3 linked regions of the Oryctolagus cuniculus genome follow. The protein of the gene in region 3 purifies or fractionates together with the protein of the main gene of each other region. This does not show direct contact. Links are inferred from orthologs where the notes say so. Each region holds a gene or a part of one and is shown on either strand. Other genes may lie near its edges. The genes, in order: FOXG1, HES1 and TLE1.

What was found.
Region 1: the proteins of TLE1 (region 3) and FOXG1 purify together in Homo sapiens (affinity purification with western blotting; 3 studies listed by BioGRID and IntAct, with this or other methods). This does not show direct contact. The link is inferred for Oryctolagus cuniculus from reciprocal best matches to the Homo sapiens genes TLE1 and FOXG1.
Region 2: the proteins of TLE1 (region 3) and HES1 purify together in Homo sapiens (affinity purification with western blotting; 4 studies listed by BioGRID and IntAct, with this or other methods). This does not show direct contact. The link is inferred for Oryctolagus cuniculus from reciprocal best matches to the Homo sapiens genes TLE1 and HES1.

What each region holds. Positions count from the first base shown.
Region 1 is NC_091443.1:46,591,175-46,598,616, forward strand, and holds FOXG1 (forkhead box protein G1), read right to left. Parts: upstream 4,656-7,442; 5' UTR 4,521-4,655; intron 3,384-4,520; 5' UTR 3,221-3,383; coding exon 1,718-3,220; 3' UTR 110-1,717; downstream 1-109. UniProt on the Homo sapiens protein: Transcription repression factor which plays an important role in the establishment of the regional subdivision of the developing brain and in the development of the telencephalon.
Region 2 is NC_091435.1:85,314,783-85,322,464, forward strand, and holds HES1 (transcription factor HES-1), read right to left. Parts: upstream 4,350-7,682; 5' UTR 4,076-4,349; coding exon 3,968-4,075; intron 3,839-3,967; coding exon 3,743-3,838; intron 3,484-3,742; coding exon 3,396-3,483; intron 2,693-3,395; coding exon 2,145-2,692; 3' UTR 1,764-2,144; downstream 1-1,763. UniProt on the Homo sapiens protein: Transcriptional repressor of genes that require a bHLH protein for their transcription. May act as a negative regulator of myogenesis by inhibiting the functions of MYOD1 and ASH1.
Region 3 is NC_091432.1:148,538,004-148,545,666, reverse strand, and holds the start of TLE1 (transducin-like enhancer protein 1), read right to left. Parts: upstream 4,519-7,663; 5' UTR 4,162-4,518; coding exon 4,138-4,161; intron 3,335-4,137; coding exon 3,234-3,334; intron 1,882-3,233; coding exon 1,818-1,881; intron 1,709-1,817; coding exon 1,664-1,708; intron 1-1,663. Other genes in the region: uncharacterized protein, read left to right, coding at 5,639-5,866. UniProt on the Homo sapiens protein: Transcriptional corepressor that binds to a number of transcription factors. Inhibits NF-kappa-B-regulated gene expression. Inhibits the transcriptional activation mediated by FOXA2, and by CTNNB1 and TCF family members in Wnt signaling.

The sequences.
Region 1 (7,442 bases), on a different chromosome or scaffold from region 3:
AAAAAGAGGCATTTTACTTCTGCAAATCTAGAATTTCAAACTGCTATAACTTAAAAGTATAAACATTGATCTATAAGTCATTACAACAGGTGATCACTTCAGCAAAATCTATATTGCAACTTCAGCACATCTTTATTAGAACTCTTTCACTGTGCGTAAACAGCCACAAAAATAAATGCTGACTTAGAAAGTATAAATACAAATATTTAAACAAAAAAGTTTGCAGCATTCATAGCGCAAATGGTACCTGAACTGAAGGGCTCTGTGTGTCTATATATATATTACATATGTGTGCATTATAGTCACTTCTATCTAACCATATACACATATATTCATTTATAATTTGCCAAGTGCTATGTACAAGATACCTGAAACAAAATATATATAAAAAGCATTCTTCAATTAACTGAATTTTAAATAAAACAGTGTAAACAGCTATGCACAAAAAATTAAATTATCTTTTTTTTTGCTGTATATCCAAAAAAGTAAAAGATATCAGCTAAAAAGCCTATACTTTGTTTAAAGCTAGCGTTTATTAAATTAGCTTGCTCCTTGCAGATTTTGTCCATAAAGGGAAAAATACTGTTTTCATTTTTAGAGACTTAGTTCAAATCAAAGGAGCAGTTGAAATCTCAAGTTTGGCTGAGAAAAGCCTTTGAATTCCCTACAGTCTTTTTAAAATTAGCTCCACTTAATAAAAGAGACAAAAGTATCAAGATATATATGAATTTAGCCTATTTTTTATTTCTGTGTGTTCATAGTAAACATTTTTGTAAGTGACAAACACGGGCATATGACCACAGTATCACAATCAAGAAATTTTAAGACAACATTAACAATCACTCAAATTTATGCGGCATTTGCGCAACACAGGTTACATATTTGCAAGGTTTACCTATAAGTACAATAGGTATTAACATTTCACTACATTTAGAAAAAAAATAAAAGTGACCTGTTAGTGACCACATACATCAAAATATACACAACACAAACTGAAGGCAATCATTAATTTTGTCCCCTTCCAATTCAATTGAATGGGCAGTGTTGCCAACTGAAACAACTTTCCTTTTTTTTTTTTTTTTTTGCTTGCTTGCTTGTTTGTTTGTTTGTTTGAATACTTAGAATACCAAGTGCATTCTCTATAATCCAATCTTTGGTCTAAAAAGTAAACAAAAGAAAAAAAACAAAAACAGTTCTTTAAAAAAAAAGACAAAACAATAAATGGCCAAAATAATTTCTTGGGTATCTTTACTACCAATGCTTCTTAAATACAAATTACAGCTTAATATTTTAAAACTCTCCCCATTTTTTTTTTTTTTAGGTTGTTTCTCAAGGTCTGCGTCCACCACACAGATCCATGATAACTTATAATACTGCACACATGGAAATCTGGCGGCTCTCAGAGATAGGCTTGTCAGGTTTGAATGAAATGGCAAAGCAGTCACTATTTAGATACACATCCTACTATAATTTTGACTTCCAAACCTTATATTCTACAATGTATTCTTCCCCACATTGCACCTCGCTGACACTCCACACCTTGTTAGAATAATAAACAACCCTAAAGACTGAACAAACGTACAGAAATAGCGGGAGGGGAGGGAGGCGGGGGGGGGGGCGGGGGCTTAATAAAAAATACCTGGACTTATTTTTTTTAATTATCATTTACAATGCAAATGTGTGTAAAACGTTCACTTACAGTCTGGTCCCGGGGATGTTAATGTATTAAAGGGTTGGAGGAAGACCCCTGATTTTGATGTGTGAAATAATCAGACAGTCCCCCGGACAGTCCCGTCGTAAAACTTGGCAAAGAGGGTCTTAAAGACTCACAGGGCAGGGTCGAGGGGGCCTGCGGCGACGTGGAGGAGGACGCGGCCCGGGCGCTCATGGACGTGCTGCTCTGCGAAGTCATTGACGGGTGCGGGACGTGGGGGAAAAAGTAACTGGTCTGGCCCGCCAGCAGGTTGACGGAGCAGGGGTTGAGGGAGTAGGTCCCCGAGCAGGGCACCGACAGGCCGCAGGGCACCGAGGCGGCCAGCGCGGCGGCGGTGAGGTGGTGTGTGGCGTACGGGATCTCCCCGTTGACCAGCCGGTCCACGCTCAGGCCGTTGGCTGTGGAGAACGAGTGGTTGTTGCCCAGCGAGTTCTGAGTCAACACGGAGCTGTAGGGCATGGGGTGGCTGGGGTAGGCCGACGTGGTGCCGTTGTAACTCAAAGTGCTGGAGGCGCGGGGGTGGTGCAGGGACAGGAAGGGCGACATGGGCCAGTAGAGGGAGCCGGCGCGGTCCATGAAGGTGAGGCCGGTGGAGGTGAGGCGCGCCCCGCGCTTGAAGGCCAGCTTGGCCCGCGACGTGGTGGAGCGGCGCCGCAGCTTGCCCGTGGTGCCGCCGATGAACACGTCGTCGCTCGACGGGTCCAGCATCCAGTAGTTGCCCTTGCCCGGGTCGTCGTAGTGGCGCGGCACCTTCACGAAGCACTTGTTGAGGGACAGGTTGTGGCGGATGGAGTTCTGCCAGCCCTGCTTGTTCTCGCGGTAGTAGGGGAAGTTCTTCATGATGAACTCGTAGATGCCGTTGAGCGTGAGCCGCTTCTCGGGGCTCTGCCGGATGGCCATCATGATGAGCGCGTTGTAGCTGAACGGCGGCTTCTCGTACTTGCCGTTCTTCTTCTCGCCCTCCTTGCCCCCCTCCCCGTCCTTGCCGCCCTCGCCCGCCCCCTTCTTCTCCTCCCCCCCGGCGCCGGCGCCCTTCTCCTTCTCGTCCGGCCCGACGGGCGCCAGCTCCCCGGGCCCGCCGCCCGGCTCGCCCTTGCCGCCCAGCCCGTCCGCCTTGGCCCCGTCCAGGGCGGCGGCCGACGGGGGCGGCGGCGGCGGCGGTGGCGGCGGCGGCGGGAGCAGCAGCTGCTGGGGGCCCTTGTCGTCGTCGGCGGCGGCGGCGGAGGCGGCGGCCGGGGCGCCCCGCGCCTGGGGGGCCTGCGGGGCCGGGGGCGGCGGTGGCGGCGGCGGCTGCTGCTGGGGCGGCGGCGGCGGTTGCGGGGCGGGCGGCGGCGGGTGGTGATGGTGGTGGTGGTGGTGGTGGTGGTGCTGGGGGTGGTGGCTGTTGTGGTGGCCGTGGCTCGCGTGGTGGTTGTCGTTCTGGACGGCCTCGGGCACCAGGCTGTTGATGCTGAACGAGGACTTGGGGATCATTTTCACCTCTTTCCTATCTCCCATGTCCAGCATCACCCAGTCGTCGGGGGGAAACGGCGGCGGCGGCGCGGGAGCGGGGCAGCGGCGCGGCGGGCGGAGGCGACCGGTGGGTGCCGAGCGGGGCGCGGGGGGCGCGGGCGGCGGCGGCGGCACTGAGCGCTCCGGCAGCAGCGCAGTTGGACCGCAGGCTCGGGCGCTGGCAAGTCATGTAGCAAAAAGCAGCAACCACCCCTCAGGAATTAGAAAAAAAAAAGGGGGGGGGGAGGGAAAAAAAAAAAGAAAGAAAGAGGGAAAAAAAAAAAGAAACAACCACCGCCCCGGGGGTGAAGCTCCCTCGCTCCCAACTCTACTTCTCGGTCTCCCCCCCACCCCCCGCTCCCCCCCCCCTCGCTGCTTCCTCCTCCTCCTCCTCCTCTCGCAGCAGCAGTCACAGCAGCAGCAGCAGCAGCCCAAAGGGGGGGAGAGCCGGGCGGCGGGCGGGCGGGCGCGTCCCGGAGCGGCCGCGGCGAGGCTTTAGGGAGACAGCGATCGAGGCGGCTATAGCCACAATTAATTTTCCGAGCTACAGGCGCACACTAGGGCTGTAAAAAAATTTTTGGTTTAACCTTTCCTACCGCCGGGCCAATCAGAGCCGGCGGCGTGCGGGAGCGTCTCCCTCGCCGTCGACCAATCGCCGGGGCCCGGGCCCACCCACCCCGGGGCCCCGCCCGCCGGCTCCCGCCCCCTCGGGCGCTCGCCTCCCCCTCGCCACGGGCCTGGGACCCGGCGGCCGCGCGGAGCCGCGCACGGAGCCGCCGGCGGGACCACGCAGCGCCGCGGCCTGCCCGCGCCCCCGCGCCCCCGCGCCGCGCCGCAGTCCCCTCCAAGGGCCCACGGCTCGCGTTTCCGGCTTACTCCTCCTCCTCCTCTTTGTACTGGGTCATTTTCGATTGAGCGTCAATATTTGTCCTTATTGATTAAAGTTTGTATCCGGTTTTATTTTGGGGGGGGGAAGCGGGGGCGGCGGTGGAGGAAAGGGTGGGCGCGCAGTGGAGAGGATGCGAGGAGAGGGCAGGAAATGAAGGAGGAAGAGGCAGGCGAGGCCCTACTCGTCCCCCTCCTCGGCCCTGCAGGCCCGGGGCTGGCGTTGGCGGGCCCGTGGGGGGAACTGTGCCCCGCGTAGGCCACGCTTCCCGCGAAGCCTCGCGTCGGCGGGGCGGGAAGGCCCACCCCCGGTGTGGGCGTGGGTGTCCTGCACCTTGCGGGAGGAGGGCCGGGGGGCGACGTTTGGAAAGGACGGGGTGAGGAGGAGGCCGTGGGCAGAAGAACGCGGGGACGAGCGAGGGTTACTTACTCGGTTCCAGCGGCCAGGGCGGCGGCGGGCTCCAGGCTCGGGGGAAGCGGGGCCTGGGGCTCCGAGCGCGGCGGCGGCGGCGGGCGGGGGCGGCTCAGTGGTGGGTGCCTCTGATGGCCTTCCGGACAGAGAGGTGCCCACAGTGCCAAACAGTCTCGAAATAAAGCAGGTAACCCATGCTCTCTGCCCGCGCGCGTCTCCCTTCGCCGTCTCCGCGGCCGCAGACCGTGGCTCTGGCGGGGTGAGTCGGTGCCGCGCGCGCTCCTCGCCGCTGCAGCTCCTGCTCTCAGTCGCGAATCCGAATCGGAAGCGGGGAGCCGTGAGCGATCACCCTGGAGATATTTTCATTTTTGCTTGTGGACCCAGGAGGGAAGATTACGGTGGGCGTCTGTTGCATTCCGGGTTTTTTTTTTTTTTTTTTAATCCCCTCCTGAAGCTTCCCTGCGTCCACTCCTCCTTTTTCCTTTCTTTCTCTTCGTTTCTCAAATGCGTGTAATTTGTGAGGGCCTCGACCCTGAGATGTCAGTATTCCGCAGCCAGCCCCTACCCACCCTGACTGCTGCCTGGAAGGCACTGGGCTCTCGGGGAACGGGGATGCGTAAGCCCAGCTTCTGGGGCTCTGGCACTGGGGAGGTTGGAGTGAGTGGGAAGATTGCGATCTGGGGACTTTAAAAGGATCCCGTGGCCAGGGGCAGGGCTAAGGCCCAGCATTTCCCAGGGATTGGAATTTAGCGCGGAGCACACTGATCAAAGGCTGTTCCATCCCACACGGGCACGAAACATAACCACATTTTACGGAGGATGTAGCCTGAGAGAAGAGGGCGGTGGAAGAGAAGCCTAAGTGGTGGTGGTGAGGGGGGGAAGCACCTTTCCCCCTTCCTCTGTAAGGTAAATCATCATCATACAATATAAGCGGTTTTTTTTTTTTTCCCCACCCTCCTCACTTTGGAAAACTCGCAGTGAAATGAGCTAGCTGGCAGATCTGGTGTTTGAGAAGGGAAAGTGGCGCCTAGGAGCGAAGTTAAATTATGACATAAAGAATGGAATTGCTGCGAGCTCAGGATGGTGGTAGGGGCTCTTCCACTTTGCCCATCCCCAACCCCGAAGTTCTCAGGGAGAATACCAGGCCGTGACCGGCAGCTAGCTCGGGAGTTTTAAATACGCATCCATCATGGATGTCACCAGGGAGCTGCGAATATCGGACGACCCTCAGCCTCCCACTACACGTAGGCTCCTGTGTCCTTGCCTCCGTCCACGCACGGTCTGCACCCGGGAGGCATTCGAGGGTTCCAGCCACCAAACGCTGGCGGCGACACGGCCCCAGAAGCCGGCACCCGAGCTCGGGCTTACTTGCCGAGCTGGAGGAGCCCGCGGGCTTCGCGAAGAGGCTGCACAGCTCCGTGGGCCTTTCCCTCCCCGCTCGCTTCTCCTCCTCCCACTCCTCTCCCCTCCTGCAGGCCAGTGCTCGCTACTTTTCCTCAACTCCCTCGCCTCCCTCCCCCCCGTCTCCACTCCCTCCTTCCCCCTGCCCGCCCCACCGCTCCCCCCGCCCTCCGTTTCTCTCGCGCTTCCCGTTCCTCCACCTACTCCTCCCCGGGTCTGCCCCCGTGGCCCCCCTTCTCACCGCCACTTAGAATGGCACACAGGGCTCCCTCTGAGGTGGACGGCCCGGTACGTTTTCGTAGTCGGTCTAGCGTGAAATGATTCGGTGTAACCGGATTCTTGGGAAAGGACAGGTTACGTAAACATTTACTGATGTGGAGTAACTATACTATTTGTACTCTGATATGCAGGAAGGAAAGTGTTGATTAACACAGAAGAAAAAAAAAAGCGAAATTAGCTGATTGCATGCTCATAAGTGCAAGCTGTCATTGAACTGCTTTTAAAATAGACACAGCTGGGTGTTTGTGTTGAAAAATTTCTTGTGTTTTTGCTAATACTGAAATAAGCATGATTTTGTATACCAAACATTTTCAGATCATTAAAATTTGTAATCTGTGCTGGTTTTAAACACAAAGAAAAGAAACAGAATCATTTCGATGTAAAATTTGCTGATATTATATTAACTCAATCAGGTCTGTACAAATTGTGCATTGTGCCTCCTAAAATCTGTTTGATCAATTTAATACACAAAGTGCCAAACGTGGGTATTGTTTGTTAACATTGGACATTTTATTCAAATCCAAGCTCAGCAGCAAACTGGAGGAGCATTCCTTGAATACAACACCAGCTCTGACTGATGAATTTTTAATGTTTTAAGGTGTTTCTTAGGTCAGAGCTGAGTGTGCATTGTTTAAAATTTTAGTAGGTGAAAATAAGTTTTTCTTCTGTATATTTTCAGATGGCAAAAATTGGGCTTTGCTAATGAGAGCTGTAATAATCTGATTTTCTATGCCAGAAGCTCATATTGACTGGGAAAATGTTTCACATGCAAATTGAGAATGTGTTATATTATTTCAAGGATTGCATGAATGCAAGTCTCCCAAAATAGGATATTTGTATAGGAATAACTAGTATAGAGTTGAATATAATAATATTTAAAAATCTTTTCTCCCCAATTATAATGATTATTTACAACTTTGGAAGAAGTTGTGTGTGTATGTATATGTATATACATGTGTGTGTGTGTTCCACACAGCATGTAGTGTTTACTTAGCGGCCCACGGTTGTGTCAGCAATGGTTTCTTTTTAGGACTGCTACTATCTGAAATGCAGGGGGGAAGGAGCAGGTTCCTGGACAGAGTATTGTGCAAGCTGAAAGTCCCTGGACTGGGCTCTGTATATCCTGCCGGCCAATTTGGGTGGGAATTGGATTTGAAGGCCTGCCAGGTCCACCTTGGGGGCCTCTTACGTTTCCAGCTCCATCAGTCTTCTCTGGTTCCCTTCAGAAGACAGGGGGCATCCAGTTGTCTCAGACTGGGA
Region 2 (7,682 bases), on a different chromosome or scaffold from region 3:
CAAATGCACTTTTTCAGTGGCTGCCCTTCGCATAAGGAAAGACAAAGTTAACTGAGTCGATATCGAGATGGCACAGGGTTTTTCTTCTTTTTCCTGTGAATTTTAAAGGACATCACTGTGAAGGAGTTGTGCAAAAATGAGACCATGCCATCTATTTTTTCTATCAGGACAGAACACCCAGAGGACAGGCGTCCACGGAGCATTTGGGTTTGGGATGGGTCCCTGAATGGAGCGATTGTTATGATGTTTGTGTTTAAATGAGAGGGAAAAGGTGGAAAAGTGATATGATAAAGAAGGGTGTGTGTGTGTGTGTGTTTGGCGGAGGGAGTGTTGGACACCTTTCATGTACACAAAATCAGGCGAGTGGCAGCCAACTGCAAAAAAAAGTGGCTTTCAGACCTCTACCTCTAGGGCCCAAGCTGGGGCCCAAGGTGTCTGGGGGGAGGGGGGAGCGGACTGCCGCTGTGTGCCCGATGGTTCCTGCGACAGAGCCGCCCGACGCTTGTTCTGCGCGCCGGCCTGTGGGAAAGGCCAGCGCCGGGCGGAGGAGAGGGGAAAGCTTTTGAAACAAGACAGAAAATCGTTGGCTTTATCTTTGTTAGGGAAGCTTCAAAGATTGATCTCTCCCGCCTCATCCTCCTCCCAGAAGCCGCTCTCCGAGAAGGGGGCGGAGGGGGTTGGGAGGGAGGTGAGAGAGGCCGGCGGGTGGGGGAGGAGGGCGCGCCCGCCAGAGCCGCAGCGCAGGCTGATGTGTCTGGTCTCGCAGGACTCGTGGTTCTCATTTCCCCAACACCTGGATGCAGTCAAACACCTGGCCAAATCTGACAAAATCTGACAAGCCTTTGTGATGGGATTTGGAAGAAATTCCCTGCAGATCCTGGCACAGTTTAAAGCTGTCCGCTTTGAGTTAGGACTTGTTAAGGAGGGTTATGTGAGCTGAAACCCGAGACAGCCCTTTTGCTTCTATCTGGAGCCCACATCTTGCCTGGAAATGGGGCATGACCAAGCGCAGGGGTCGCTTGCTGTTTGTATTAAAAGGGGAAGATGGCCTGTGCGCCTGCCAGCACAGCCCCCACATGCTTTCTCTATTAGAGCCCAGCACAGACTTATCAGAAACACATGTGTGGCGTTAATCATCTGGGCTGGGGTTCCACTTGGGAGTCTAACTAGCTGTCCCTTGGCAGAAGGAATCTGTTGACCTTTCCAGCTTGCTTGAAGAGGGGGCAGAGCAGCATTGGACGCGTGTGCGTGCTGGAGCTAGGGCATGTCTGGCTGCACCTCGGGACAGGCTGATTAGGGGAGACCCCCAGCACTGGAAGGCAGGCGGCTCCAGGAGGAGGGCTGCCCTGTGGGTGTGGGCGAGCTGCTCCCAGGACAAGGCAGGGGCCGACCTCCCAGGGGCTGCGGCCAGTTCAGCATTGCCTCCATGACAGTCCTGAAAATGCAGTCCTGTCCAACCTTCTCAGGAGCTCACAGGATGAGGGCTGTATGGCTCAGCCCACTGCCAACTCTGAAACCTCCGAAATCTTGCAGGAGGTTCGCACCCAAATTTATTAAGGAAGCCGAATCAAAGGAGAGCTTGTAAATTAAGTGGGATTTGGTCTTTGTAGTTGATGTGGTGTGGGTGAAAAGGCTGGGTGGATTTTTAAAAATGCTGTTCTTTTAATAACAATAGAGCCAATTCCTGAATTCCCAGATTACATGTAACTCAAATTCCGTGAGCCTTTTTACATATTCTGAAATAATCAGTCCCCACACATAAACACCTTCACTCTTTTTCTTTTATTATATTTTCTCAAACTTCCCCAAAGGAAGATATTTTAAGAGCAGTTTCAAACATCTTTGGCATCACATAAAAAAGAAATCTCGTGTAAAAAACGAAATGTCATCTTTACTTTTATAATACAAAGGCGCAATCCAATATGAACATATAAAATATATACAAATATAGTGCATGGTCAGTCACTTAATACAGCTCTTCTACAAAAAAGTAACTTTTAGAAATTAAAAAAAAACCAACAAGGTAACCACTGAAATCAATCACAGAAAAGTTCTCTTCACTCCCAGTATCCAAGTTCCTGTTTAATGTCCGGAGGGTGGAGAAGCGGGTAGGGCAGTCTGGGTGGAGAGGTGTCCAGAACCCCTCAGTTCCGCCACGGCCTCCACATGGAGTCGGCCGTGAGCGAGGGCCCGCTGGAAGGGGACACGGCGTTGGGACCTACCGAGGTCCCGTTGTTGCTGGTGTACACGGGGATGACCGGGCCGCTGTGTGCGAAGGCCCCGTTGGGGATGAGGAAGGCAAACTGGCCGTCGGGAGCAGGCACCACCTGGAAGCCGCCGAACACCTTAGCCGCCTCTCCAGCCTGGCTGCCCAGCTTGCAGGGGGCGCCGCCGGGAGGGGGCGCCGCGCCCCCGGGGATGGGCACGAGCGGCGGCGGCGCGAACGGCGCGTGCTGGGGGCCGCCGGGGCCAGGCGGGGGCGGCGGCGGCGCCTGCAAGGCGGGGTGCGGCTGCCCGGGATAGGTCATGGCGTTGATCTGGGTCATGCAGTTGGCCAGGTGGCCGAGCAACCGGGTGCGCACCTCGGTGTTAACGCCCTCGCACGTGGACAGGAAGCGGGTCACCTCGTTCATGCACTCGCTGAAGCCGGCGCGGTATTTCCCCAGTACGCTCGGATCTGTGCTCAGCGCGGCTGTAGGCCAGAAGGAGGCAGACGGGTCACCGAACGGCCCTGGCCCCGGGGCCATTGCCTCCCGCCCTGGGAGGTCCCTGCGGCGCGCCTCCCCGACCACGCGCCCGCCGGACCGCCTGCGGCTGGGGCGCGGGGAGGGGCGGAGGGGGTTGGCTCTAGGGGAACCAGCCGCCACCACCACCGCCACCGCCACACCAGCGTGGCAATCCGAGCCGAGACACCGCCTTCCCATTCCCTGTCGCTCCATTTAAACTGCTCTCAGGCCCAGCCCCGCGCGCGCTGTGACCTTGGGACTCGGCCCCCACCCTCAATCCACCAACCGCGCCGGTTTCCCCTTCTGGAGCGGGGGAGGAGAGCAGTGCGCTAAACCAGATGACCCCCCCCCCCACTCCACCCCCAGGCTGCACACAGCTCCAAACCGCCACGGCTCCCAGTCCTTTAGCCCCAGCCCGCTTCCCCCGCAGCCAAGCCGCCCGCCACCCTCGCGGCTACCACCTCTCTCCCTCCCTTTCCGGAACAGTAACAACTTGGAGTTGCGGCTATAAATAAGACCCAGACCGTGGGAACGCGAGCGTGAGCCAAGGCAGTAAAATGTAGCTCAATGCCGCTCACAACCGCGGGCGGAAGTCTGGAAGGAATCACCGCCGGGTGCGAGGGCCGCCCGCCGAGGGGGACGCGCGAGCCGCCCTCACCGCGCCCTCACCGGTCATCTGCGCGCGCTGCAGGTTCCGGAGGTGCTTCACGGTCATCTCCAGGATATCGGCCTTCTCCAGCTTGGAATGCCGCGAGCTCTGCACAACAGAGGGCAAGGCAGGGCAGTGAGACCCCCGCCGCCCCCCGTCAGCTGCCTCGGATCGCTGGGGCCCTCCCGCCCCCCGCCTCCCCGGCCGTGGACCCCGGCGAGAAAGCAGCATTGCCGGGCTAGGCTAGGATCCTCGCCTCGCAGGCAAGGGGGATTTCATTCCCGGAGGCTCCGAAACAGTACTTCGCACTTCTTAATAAATAATAATAATAATAATAATAAAAGCAGCAGGATTCTCCCCCACTTACATCTTTCTTAAGAGCATCCAAAATCAGAGTTTTCAGCTGGCTCAGGCTTTCATTTATTCTCGCTCTTCGTCTTTTCTCCATGATTGGCTTTGAAGACTGCAAAGAAATCAGACAGAACTCTGAGTTCCCCTGGGATCTGCCGCTTCACCCCGGGGTTTCCGGAGGGAAAGGAGCCCCCACCCCCGACCTGGTTCCTGGGGCTAGAGATACAGGCACTGCGCTTACCTTCCTGTGCTCAGAGGCTGTCTTTGGTTTATCCGGTGTCGTGTTGACACTGGCTGGGGTAGCAGCCACCGGGGACGAGGAATTTTTCTCCATTATATCAGCTGGCATTTTCCTTCCTTTTTTTTTAATCCCTAGAGAATTTTTATTTTTGGAGACCTTCGCCCAAAAATAATATTTTAATGTCCCTTTTTTCTTGAGACTTTCACAAAACTACTGAGCAAGTGCCGAGGGTTTATTATTCTATTTTGCAGCTACTGGGTGATCGGTAGCGCTATTCCAGGACCAAGGAGAGAGGTAGACGGGGGATTCCGCTGTTATCAGCACCAGCTCCGGATCCTGTGTGATCCCCAGGCCCTGGCGGCCTCTATATATATCTGGGACTGCACGCGAACGGCTCGTGTGAAACTTCCCAAACTTTCTTTCCCACAGTAACTTTCAGCCAATGGGAGGAGGAGACACGCGGCACCGCTCGTGGACCGCGCCCCCCCATTGGCCGCCAGGCACAAGGTCTGGCGGCCAATGGCGCGCGCCTGAGCCCAGGGCACCGGAGGCTACAACGTCAATCAAAGGAATTTTAACCCTTTGCTACTCTCCCCTCTGGGCTTTGCTTTCGAGAGGATTTTTCCGCTTTAGTTTTAGACTAGTTTCTTTCTTTAAGGGGCCAATGTCTTTGCTCTTTGTTCTCTTTTCTATGTGTCACAGAACTGCTTTGACTGTAATAAGAAGTTCATTGGAAATATATTTTCAGAAAGGTATAGACCAAAGAAAAAAAGAGAGACATGATCAGTGATTAAAAGCGGCATAAGCGTGCAAGGGTGTGAATTACCCAAACATCTAAGTGATTTCCCTCCGAGCTTCTGTATACTGAGGAGAGTGAAAAGTAGATAATGCAGAAAAATAACCCCACCCACCCCCAAATTCCTTTTTGCATGCACCAGAAGGAAAAATAAAATTACCTTGCACTTCTCATTTGCAGGCTTCTCAGGGCAAGGTGGTTCTTGGACGCCCCCCACCTTCACCACCCCGTCCCTCTTTCCTTCTGTTGGTGTTGGGGGCCCTGGACCCCCACGCTGCCCCAGGAAACAATCAGAAAAATTTCCAACTGGGTAGAAAGGAAATGGAATCGCCAATGACAAACGAACAAGGGGCGCTTTGATGGCAACGCCGCTCCGGGACGCGCGCGCGCTCCTCCGCACCCTCTCCCTTTCCGCCCGCGGGCCCTCGGCGCGGCGGCACCTCGAGGCAGGCGGGCGGCGAGGCTGCCTCTCCCCTCGCGGGCCCTTTAAGAGCTGCACCAGCCGAGCTGCAGTTTGACATCAGCCGGCCGGCGAGGGCGCGCCTGGAGCCGGAGCACGTGCCAGGATGTTTTATTGCCGCCGCGGCTGCGGCCGGGCCGGGAGGATGTGTGTGTGCGTGCGTGTGTGAGTGTGTGTGCGCGCGCCCCGGGGGCAGGGAGGCGGGAGGCGGCGGCGGGCGGCCGGGAGCGGGGGCCGGTTCCTGGTCCCCGGGAGAAGCCAAGAAGGTAAATAGCAGCTGCTGTGCTCGAGCCTGGGAAAACCCCGCCCCCTGCGCCTGGCCCGGGCTCATTGGCGCGCGCTGCGTGTGGGGTGTGTGTGTGTCCGGGGCCCCCTCCCCGGGCCCCGCCGGGCCAGGAATCCGAGGGGGCGGCGGGCGGAGAGCCCAGCCCCGGCGCTTACCCTCCCCCGCCCCTCCCCCGGCCAAGGTCAGCCCTTCCGGGCGGGGAGCGCACGCCCTAGGGTGGAGAGCGGGGCATGGTTCCAGCCCTCCCCCACCCTGCTTTTCGGGCTCGGGGCTTTAACTTGGCCCCAGACTTCCCTCGCCGCAGCCCCGGGGTGGGGGCGGGGGGGCACCTGGCTCGTTCCTCGCCCCCGCCCGCCCGCCCTCTCCCGCGGGGCCCCCGGCGCCCGCCGCGGTCACGAGATGCCTGACCGCAGTGAGGAAGCGGCCGGGTCAGCCTCCTGCCTCCGCTCGGCGGCTGCGGTTAGGGCGGCTTCGTGCGGCCCGCCCCTTCCCCGGGTCCCGGGCGGCTGGGCAGCTCCCCCTCTCCGCGCCCGGGAGGCCGCCGGCGGGCGGCCGGGAAGAGGAGGGCGGCGCGGGCGGCTGCGTGCTGCCGGCTGGCCGGGCCGCGCGCCGGGAGGAGCCGCCGCCGCCGCCGCCGGGTGCCACGTGGCGGGCGCCGGGCCGGGAGCGCCAGGGCTCTGGCGGCGGCCTCCCTGGGGGATTTGCCGCGCGGGCAGGGCGGGCGGCGCGCACGGCCCCGGCAGGCCGGCCGCCGCCTCCGGAGTCTGCCTGGCCGGCCGGGTCGCCGGCCCCGTGTCCCCACCCCACCGCCGTCAGGAGCTCGGCCTGCGGCTCGGGGCGGCCTGGGAGCCCAGCGCCTCCTCTGATGTCGCCCCCCCTCGCCCCCTCCCCCGCCCTTCGCGCGTCCGGGAGGCCTGGCACACACTTCTCTGACACTTCATTCCTTCCTTCCCCCCGAGCTCCCCGCGGAGATAAGGTTGTCAATGATTCCCCCAGATCCGCCCCTGGTGCGGCTAGGCGGCTCCTGACTCCACTGACCTTGGGCGAGCCCCTCGCGTTCAGTAGGGAGCGCGCGCTCAGTGCCAGACACTGTGCTAAGCCCTGGATTACCACGACAAGGGAGGCAGTGCCAGTGTGCACGGAGGTGGCTGTGAGCGGCGGAGGCGGGCACACCCTGAGGTTCTGCTCCCTGACCCTGCGGGCTTGCCTGCATTCCCCCTTTTGGGGCTTGCAGGACAGACCACACCTGTAGGGACAGCCGCAAGGCTGGAGCTGGTCTGCAAGGCGCGGGGCCGAGCGAGGGGGTGTTACAGGAAAGAGTCAGAGGGTATGGCCCGCAGGAAGCTCCCAACCCCGGGACAGATAAGGCTTGTGAGTTCAGCTGACATTTGTGGATTTCCCTGTGGAGTCCTCTGAGAGGCCCCAGTCCTGCAGACACGGTTTCGTTTCTAGATGGAGGCAGAATGCTGTGGCTGTTTGAGAGTTAAATTACTTGTAAATTAGAGCACCTTGGAAAACTTCCTGGAGGAGGTGGCCTATCCCTTGAAAAACAGGGAGGCCTGCCTGCCACATTGGAAATGTGCTGTGTCATGGGGCTGAGGAGGAGACCAGCACCTCTCAGGCCTTACTCAGGGACTGTGGCCTGCAGCCCAGTGTGTGGACACCGTGCTCCAAGACCCTTAAACGCCTTGCCAGGGGGCTGTAGCTTTAGACAGTGGGGAGCCAGGAAATGTGCTCCAGGCAAAGAGGCGGCAGGGTGCCTGCCCTTGAGGAAGACGGCTCTGGCAAGAGTGTGCAGGAACACTGAGGCCAGACCAGAAGGTTCCATGGTGGCAGGTGTAGACGGCCACTCCCTGGGAAGCACCTGGCTAGCCGGCTCCAGCTGACCTGGGCATTGCCTGTACCCCGCCCAGGGGGTCCCCCATGCTGCAGTGTTCCCCGTCGCCCCCCTCCACCTGGCGGCTGACTAAGGCATCCTTGTGGCTCTGGCTCTACTTAATCTTCTAAGCCTCATTTCCACCTTGCAGGAGAGCCCTCAAGTCTGCAGCCAAACGCTTACCTCATTGCAGGCTGGGTTTGCTCATTCCTGCCCCTTGCACTGCTCTCTGGGACTTTTTGTGTTTTCTGAACACACTGCAGAGTGGGCTATGCCCTATCATGTTCTGAAGAAATG
Region 3 (7,663 bases):
CAATAAATCCAGCACTCTAGCACACAGAACCACACAGGGATGTTGCTCCCCTGGAAAAAAGTCGAGGTTATTAAATCCTTTTGGTTTAAGAAAAACTCAGTCTCGTCTTACATTTCCAGAATATTTGTTACCAAAATATTTTCCCTTTTAAGATAACATTTAAAAAAAAAATAGCAGGAGGTTAGACCTTGTCTGCCATGTTTATTTGCATAAATCGTTTAAATGACCATGTTAGCTATAGATCTTCTAGTCCATTTACTATCAACAAGTTCAAGTGCCTCAATAAGGCACTGGCCATTGAAACACACACACACACACACACACAAAGGCACAAGCCCAACACAAACCTAAGCTACCAACTTTGCACATCAGAGTAAAAATCAGCATTTTTAAAGGCCGAATTATATTACTAATGAAAGGCTCTGAACTGAACTCTCATTTTCCAAACACAAATCTGAAAACAGATCTAAGGTACAGGATGATAACATTATGAAATCTATGATGAATTAAAAATCAAAGAGTGCAGAGTTACAAAAGCAGAATTCAACTCTGAAACACACTTGCTTAATGAAAGTCTTTGAATATAAGGAAGATCTGAAGGCTGAACTAATCAATTTCTCCACTGTGCCCCAGCCGGTCAGCCATGCTCTTTAATTTAATGAAACAAGGGTTTGAGATGAAATAGCACATATACATCAAGTAAGAACTGTATTGTTGCACTTTGAAATGTGTCCAACTGTGCAACTTCATCTGATGATAATTTTTTAAGAGGCAATCGATTTCTAAAAGACGTATTGTACCAGCGTCTTGATGAAAAAGTGAATGTCAGCATATCTCCAGAATACTTACACCCTGCCATTAATGCTTTCTTTGGCAGACAATGACTACTCAATCGAGGGTCCTTTGGGCTGAGCAATCATTTAGCTTTTCTTCTCTTATGAGGTCCTTAGTGCCTTGTTCCAGCTCAATACTCTTTTTATACACCATTATAGTAGCCATAAGTGTGAATTTTATGGGAACTTGCAAACTCATAGTCATAGCTAGGGCTTTCCAGTCACTAATCTTTTCATGCTTTTAAAACCACTAGGACTGAAGCAATTTCCAACATATGCTGTGGCCACAAAAGGATGCCTTTTTTTTTTTAACCTCCAAACCTGCTTCAACTGACAAGTTTTTTAAAAACATGTTTGCTAATAAGCCATTAATCCTGAGTCTCGCTTACACAGCCCAGAAGCACAGAGTACTCTAGTCAATCACTCAGCTTGCTGAACCTGATCACAGAAACCCTTGAACATGCCCTTTCCCCCAAAGGTGCGCACTTCCTTCCAAAGAGCACAAGCGCAGGCACTGTTCTGAATGTTAGCAGTTCTACAGGATCCTGACATCTTTTCAGAGGACAATAAATCTATCCAGGTAGAAAACTAAATTCAGTCTCAATTTCTCTGCTGCCTAAAAATGGCTAATTCACATTTCCAAAACAGCTAGTCCTGTAAGCACTCTACCCTTGCTGCAGACACTACCACCAACTCACAAGAAAGGCAACCAAGGCCAAAACTGTCATGCAAACTCCCAGGTCCATGACCCACTACTGGGGACTAAGCCAGTATTACAAAATGGTATGAGCTGATTTCTTGTTTCGGCTTAAGATTTATCTAAAGCTTACCTGTTTATGCATTTCAATGTTTAATCCATATGACATTTCATAATACTGTAAAGAGAAGAAAGAACCAGACATTTCATTAACTCACATTTTTTGATGCGAAGAACACATATTTGCTAATATTACATGAAAAAGAACTCCAATCTTTGATACCTACCATCACATAGTGTCTCTGCATTTCTGTCTTTTCACTTGCCAGTTTCTCACATTCCAATTTAAGGCTATGAAAACAAAACAGGCAACTTAATGTAAACATTATGTCACTTGTTTTAACATCTGCCTCACATATTTGCACTTCAAGTAAAAACACAGACCAATTTGGAAAAGCCATAAACTATCTAGGTAAACACCCAAAAGCTTTGTCTCTGTACTTAACAGGAAAAAGGAATGAGGTGAGCAGTACAGAGTATCCCTCAGCCTTTTGCTTCTTCTCTTTGGTGTACACTTGTCAGCTGATCCCTCCTCATGGTCATCTGTGCCCCGTTTCCGGCATCAGAGTCTGTTTCTCTGAACCCCACCAAAATCCAGCCTTTGCACACTTCTGTCCCAGCCTTAGGCCGCACCATCTTTGTCTCCAGGTTTCAAAGTCATACCTGCCAAGTTAGTTCTACAATGGCTGGTCCCTTTCAAAACCGATGGTTTTTAAATTCCTGCCAAAACATGCCAAGCGGGTACTGCCATAAAATGGGCTGAAGTTCTCCCTCATGAGTAAACACGGTATGCACAAGGATGCCTCAAGCCCTAGATACACCACTTATAAGTAGAATAGCGGCCTGATAGAGTAAGAAAATTCACACCCAAATCACCTACCCTCATCTCGAGCAAGAGGAAGCTAAAAATTGCCACTACAGCAATTTCTTAGCTTCAATCAGCCTTAACCTCCCAAGGAGCCAGGGAAAGAAACTAACCTTTCTGAAATACCCACTGTGAACAATCAGTGACTTTACAGATAGCTTTCAGTTATAAATTCCTTGCAGATGGGTATCTTTACATGAAGAAACTGAGGCCGAGATGAAGGCTAACTCCACTCAAATCAATCAATTCAGAAGGAAGCCGAAGTGGATGAACTCTCCCCTAACACTCCCCACCTTGTCCCTCTCATCACCAAGGATGGACATAACTAAAAGCCAACTAGCCTCCTTCCCTAATGGACTTTGCCTCAGACAACCCAATTTTCTAGTACGGCAAACAGCGATTTCAACATGGCTTTTGCTTCCCTGAACCCGCACTCCAGGGCTTGAAGGATTGATTGAACCAATGTTTCAGCTCAGCCTGTTGCAAAATAAATACCTGAAGTGCAAATATTGACAGTTCTCATGCAACTCCTAAATACACCAAAAAGGACTCCTTGGAACAGCAGCAAGCCCGCAAGAGGGAAACAATGGGAGGAGGGAGGAGGAGACAGAAGCAGAGCCGGCCCGGGAAGAGCCGGGAAAGGGGGTACCGTGAATGACAGGTCTGAACTGCGACTCCACACGCCACCGCCTGGACGCAAGCACTCAATACAGCCAACGCCACCACCGGGCTGGGCGACCGAGGGGCTAAGGGGCCGCCCGCTCAGCCGGACACGCACCTGTGATACTGCGCCTGCAGGAACTGGAATTCCTCCTTAATCCTGTCCAGGGACTCAGGGATAGTGAACTTGAAGGGTTGGCCTGCAGCCTGGTGCGGCGTCTGGGGGCGATCGGCGATGGGCACCGAGGGACGGGGATGCGGGCGGGCAGACGGATAAAGTCAGGAGAGGCAAGAACGGGTGGGACATAAACAAAAAAGTTAGAGACGGCAGAAAACGGAGACCCAAACTCAAGTCTGAGCTTCACTTTGGGGAGGGGGGAAACGGACCCCCCCACACACTCCCAACCCCCAGCTTCTAAAAAGGCTCGGAAGCTCTTTCGGCCTCCTGGGCAGATCTCGCCAAGTGCTCCCGGGTCAACCCGCCCGAGTAGAGAGGACTGCCTGGCGACCTGGGGGGTGCGGCGTGCGGGGACCAGACCAGAACGTCGTCGTCGTCGCCCCCTCCCCCACGGGGGCGACAATGACCCCGGGGACCGGAGGAGAAAAACAACTCCCTTAAGTCCTCCATTCCCAGAGTCGCCAGGGCCACCTCCGGACGCACCGGAACGGGGGCCGCATTGACATGTAAATAGGCGAGACGAGAAACAAAGGGGGGCCGCCAAACCCGCCTCGGGGAAAAGCGCAGGATGTGGCTGGGGAGAGAAACCCCAGCCTCCCCCAGCGCTCGCGTCCGCCCGGTCTAGACGTCAACTAGGAAGGGGCCCCAGAGGGGAAGGGGGTGGGGTGGGGTGGGGGACTTGAGTTTCAGCTCACTCGCCACCCCACGGAGGGAGGGACCAGGAGCCCCTGGCCTCGCGCCGCCGGGTGCCGGGGGTGTACGACAGCCGCCCACGACCCTACTGCACAAGACCGAGTCTCCCAAGCCCCGCGCGCCTGCCCCCACCCACCCGGCCGCGCCTCACCGGGTGCCGGCTCTGCGGGAACATTGCTCTTCTGGCGGCGGCCGCAGCTCTGTTCCCGGGCAACTCAATTCTCCGCTCAATTTCCAACTTTAATCCCGCCGAGGACAATTCAGCCGGGCAGAAGCGGGGAGCGCGCTGGCCACGCACGCAGGCGCGCTCGGCGAGACGCACCGGCCACTCGGCGCCCGCGGCTGCTGCTGCTCCCGCCGGTGCGGGCTCCCGCCCTCAGGGCCACATCTCGGGACGCCCCGGGCCCAGCTGCTCCAAGGACCTGCGCGGCGCCGCCGGCGCCGGGGGGAGAGCGCACAGCGACTGTGCTCCAACCCGCGGGCCTCAGACGCCCGGGGCGGTGAGGTGGAGACGCGGCGACTCGGGCTGCGCTCCCCTTGGGCGATCCGCGTGCGCGGCGCCCGTCGCGGGCAAACAAATCCAGGCGGGCTGCTTTCCTTCGCTCTTCTCCTGCTCGGTCTCCTCGCAGGGGCGGGCGAGGTGCAGGTGGCGCGGCGCCCCCGGCTCACCTCTCACACACACACACACACACACACAAGGAGCGGCGGCGCTCCGGGCCGACCCCCGCCGGTCCCGGCTGCGCCCCGGAGTCGGGCGCTCTTCGTGGGAGGCAGTAGGGAGCGATCTCAGAGCCGAAGCGGAGGCTCCGAGCCCGGTGGTCCGAAGCCTCAGCCCGGACCGGGCAGCAAGGGATGACGAGGCGGGGAAAGTGCGGAGGGCGCGCCGTGAGGCGGCTCGGCACGCCCCGCGCAACCGGCAATCGGTGTTCTCCGCGGTTGCACAAACCCTCCTGGCCCGACAGAGCTACTCCACGGAGGGCAGTCCCGGAGCCACCCGCTGCTCCTCCAGCCCGGGGCGCATCAGGGCGCCGCAGCCCATGCGTACTCGCCCCGCACGGCCGCTCCGGACCCTTCTTCTTCGGCCCTCTTCCTTTCCTTCCCCTCGTCTGCCTCTCCGTGAAGGGCGCTCCAGCCCGCTGCAAAGTTCCCTCACGACCCGAGGAACGACATCCACGAGACGGTGGGGAGAAGAGCAGGAGTGCGCTCCGCCGCTCGGCCTCCCGCCCCGGCGGGCAAACTCCGCCGACGAGTCCGAGTAATCCCGGCGGGGCTCGGGTCTCCGCGCGCGGGCCAGCGGAGGTCCGAGCTGAGGGCTCGGGTCTCGCCCGGCCGTGCGAGGGCAGGGGGGGTGGCGCGATCGGTTGCCTCGGGGACGTGGGCACAGGGTACCCGCCGCCGCCGCCGCCGCCGCCGCTGCTCCTACAGCCGCCGCCGCCCGCGCCTCTCGCACCGGTTACATTAACACGCGGTTTCACACTCCGGAGCTAACCAGCGCCGGCCCCGCCCAGCCCCGCGCGGGCGGGGGCCGCGAGCTCGGAGCCGGCGGGGGACGTGGGCCCGGGAGGCTGCCGGGGGAGTAGGGGGGCCCGCATCAACCAATCGCGTTCGCCGCGCCCAACGTGGGGCACTGACGCCACGCCTCCCTCGAGCCTATGGCGGCGCCGCGCCGGACTGGCCGTGCCTCCCGCTCCCCCTGCGCCCTCCCCGCTCGCTTCCATCTCCGCCGTCTCCCCCGTCTCCCCTCCCACCCCCTCCGCCCCTCCTCCGCCAGCCGCGTCCTCCCGGGCTCGGGGAGGAACTGTTCCTGGAGGAGCCGCGGGACTCCAAAAGCAGCCAATGAGAGGCGGCGCGACGCGGAGATTGGCACGAAGGATGGGAAGGTCGGTGGGAAGGAGAGCGGCGGGGCCGGGCTGTCAATCAAAGTAACGTGGGCCCGGCTGGGGAGCGCGCGGGCGCGCGCTGGCGGGAGGGACCCGTGAGCGTGCTGCGGCGGAAGCCGGGGGCTTGAGTTTGCCGAAATCCTGCCACTTGTTCACTTTGCGCTCTAGTGCGAATCTTGTGGGCTCAGTAAAAGTAACTCGGGGGCTCACGGCGTAGTCTCGCCTTGGGGGCGGGAGGGAGGGGTTTTTTTGGTCATGCGAGCAAAATGGTTTTTTGTGTGGTGGCCTCTTGTCTGATGCTGCTCCTTGAAAGCGAGGTCACATTCAGAAATTCCTCAGAGCGTAGTCCTTTCTTGAGCCGCCTCTCCCCGGTGCACAGGAGTGGGCTGTACACTTGGCGGAAAACGCATAAATGAGCAAAGCTTAGTCGGCGTGGGTCTGCCCGCCGCCGGAGCCCCGACTGCGACGCCCGCGGCCACCTCCGCCCTCCCCGTGCGCCCAGCGTGGTGGGATTTGGCCTTTATTGAAGGATTCCGGGCCACTTTGTCGAAAGGTCGGCCTGCCTGCGTTTGGCGGGCGGGATACCTAAGGTGCCGCCGGCGTGAGGGCACGCGCGTCTCGTGCGCTGAGGGGATGGCTTTGCCCGCGGCGCGAAATCCCGGGTTTTGTTTTTTCTCTCAGGAGTCCTCTGGCGGGGGAGAGGGTGGCTGTGGGGGTCTTAGGAGCCGCTCCTCAACCAGACCAGGAATCTTTCCAATTCCTGGAAACAGAGGGACAGACCAGCATCGGGACCTGAAAAACCTGTCGGGCCCAGCCCATCCCGTGGCCTGGGTGCTGCTCGTGGCCGAGCCGTAGACTCTACGGCTAAATGACGTGGCCTGGGCTGTTAGAGGGGCAGCTGGGGATGCAAGGGACTTGGAGCTTTTACAGGAACGAGAGGTGCTCCGTATTTAGTATTGTGAGTCCGCTGTTTTTGTCTTTCTCGAAATACACCACACAGCAGAAGACCTTCAGTACTGCCGCAATGATACCTTTCTGCTTACATATATGTACTTTTCTTTAAAGAACAGTTCAGTGAAACTGTTTCCACGTCATGAGCAGTGAGTGAATAATGCTCTTCTAGCCAAATGATGGTAACGTCTTCCACGAGGCGGGCAAATCACCGACAAGTGTTACTGTTTCCTTGGAACCTAGATATTGGTGTTAGAAACCACGCGTTCCCGTTATTTTACCTTCGAGAAACTTAGGGGAACGAGTTTATTTAAGCACATATACGTTTTATTCAAAGATTTGCTTTTTACAGAGATCTTTTTGTTGAAATATTAAAAGAGTCATTTTAGCTAATACATTTCACTGGCGTTTTTTAAATATGTATGATATTGATTTGTCTATAATTGCATCAATCCCTAATATCAATTATAAATGAAAAATAAAAGAGCTATTTCAGCCAGCCTGTGCAAGGCCATAGTATGCTCTTAAACAAGTTCAGGGTTCTAGCTCTGCAGTTTTCTGAAGCGGAGTTGAGAAAGGGGCTATACTGGTCTTGTTAACATGGAGAATGAAAAGGAAGTCCTGCCTCTCTTTCCTTAGTTAAATGTGGTGATGATGAAAGCAGGCTTGCTCCACGTGTAGGACCTAAAGAAATTATGATTCATGGTCGACTAAACTTTCTCCTTTGGCTTCCTGTGTTTGTGAAATCATCATCTAGTGATTGGGCTATACACGCCAATCTGTGGTCCGTTCAAACCGTAGGACTAGGTGGAAAAATGCTTGGGTGCACGAAGTATGCTTGTGCAC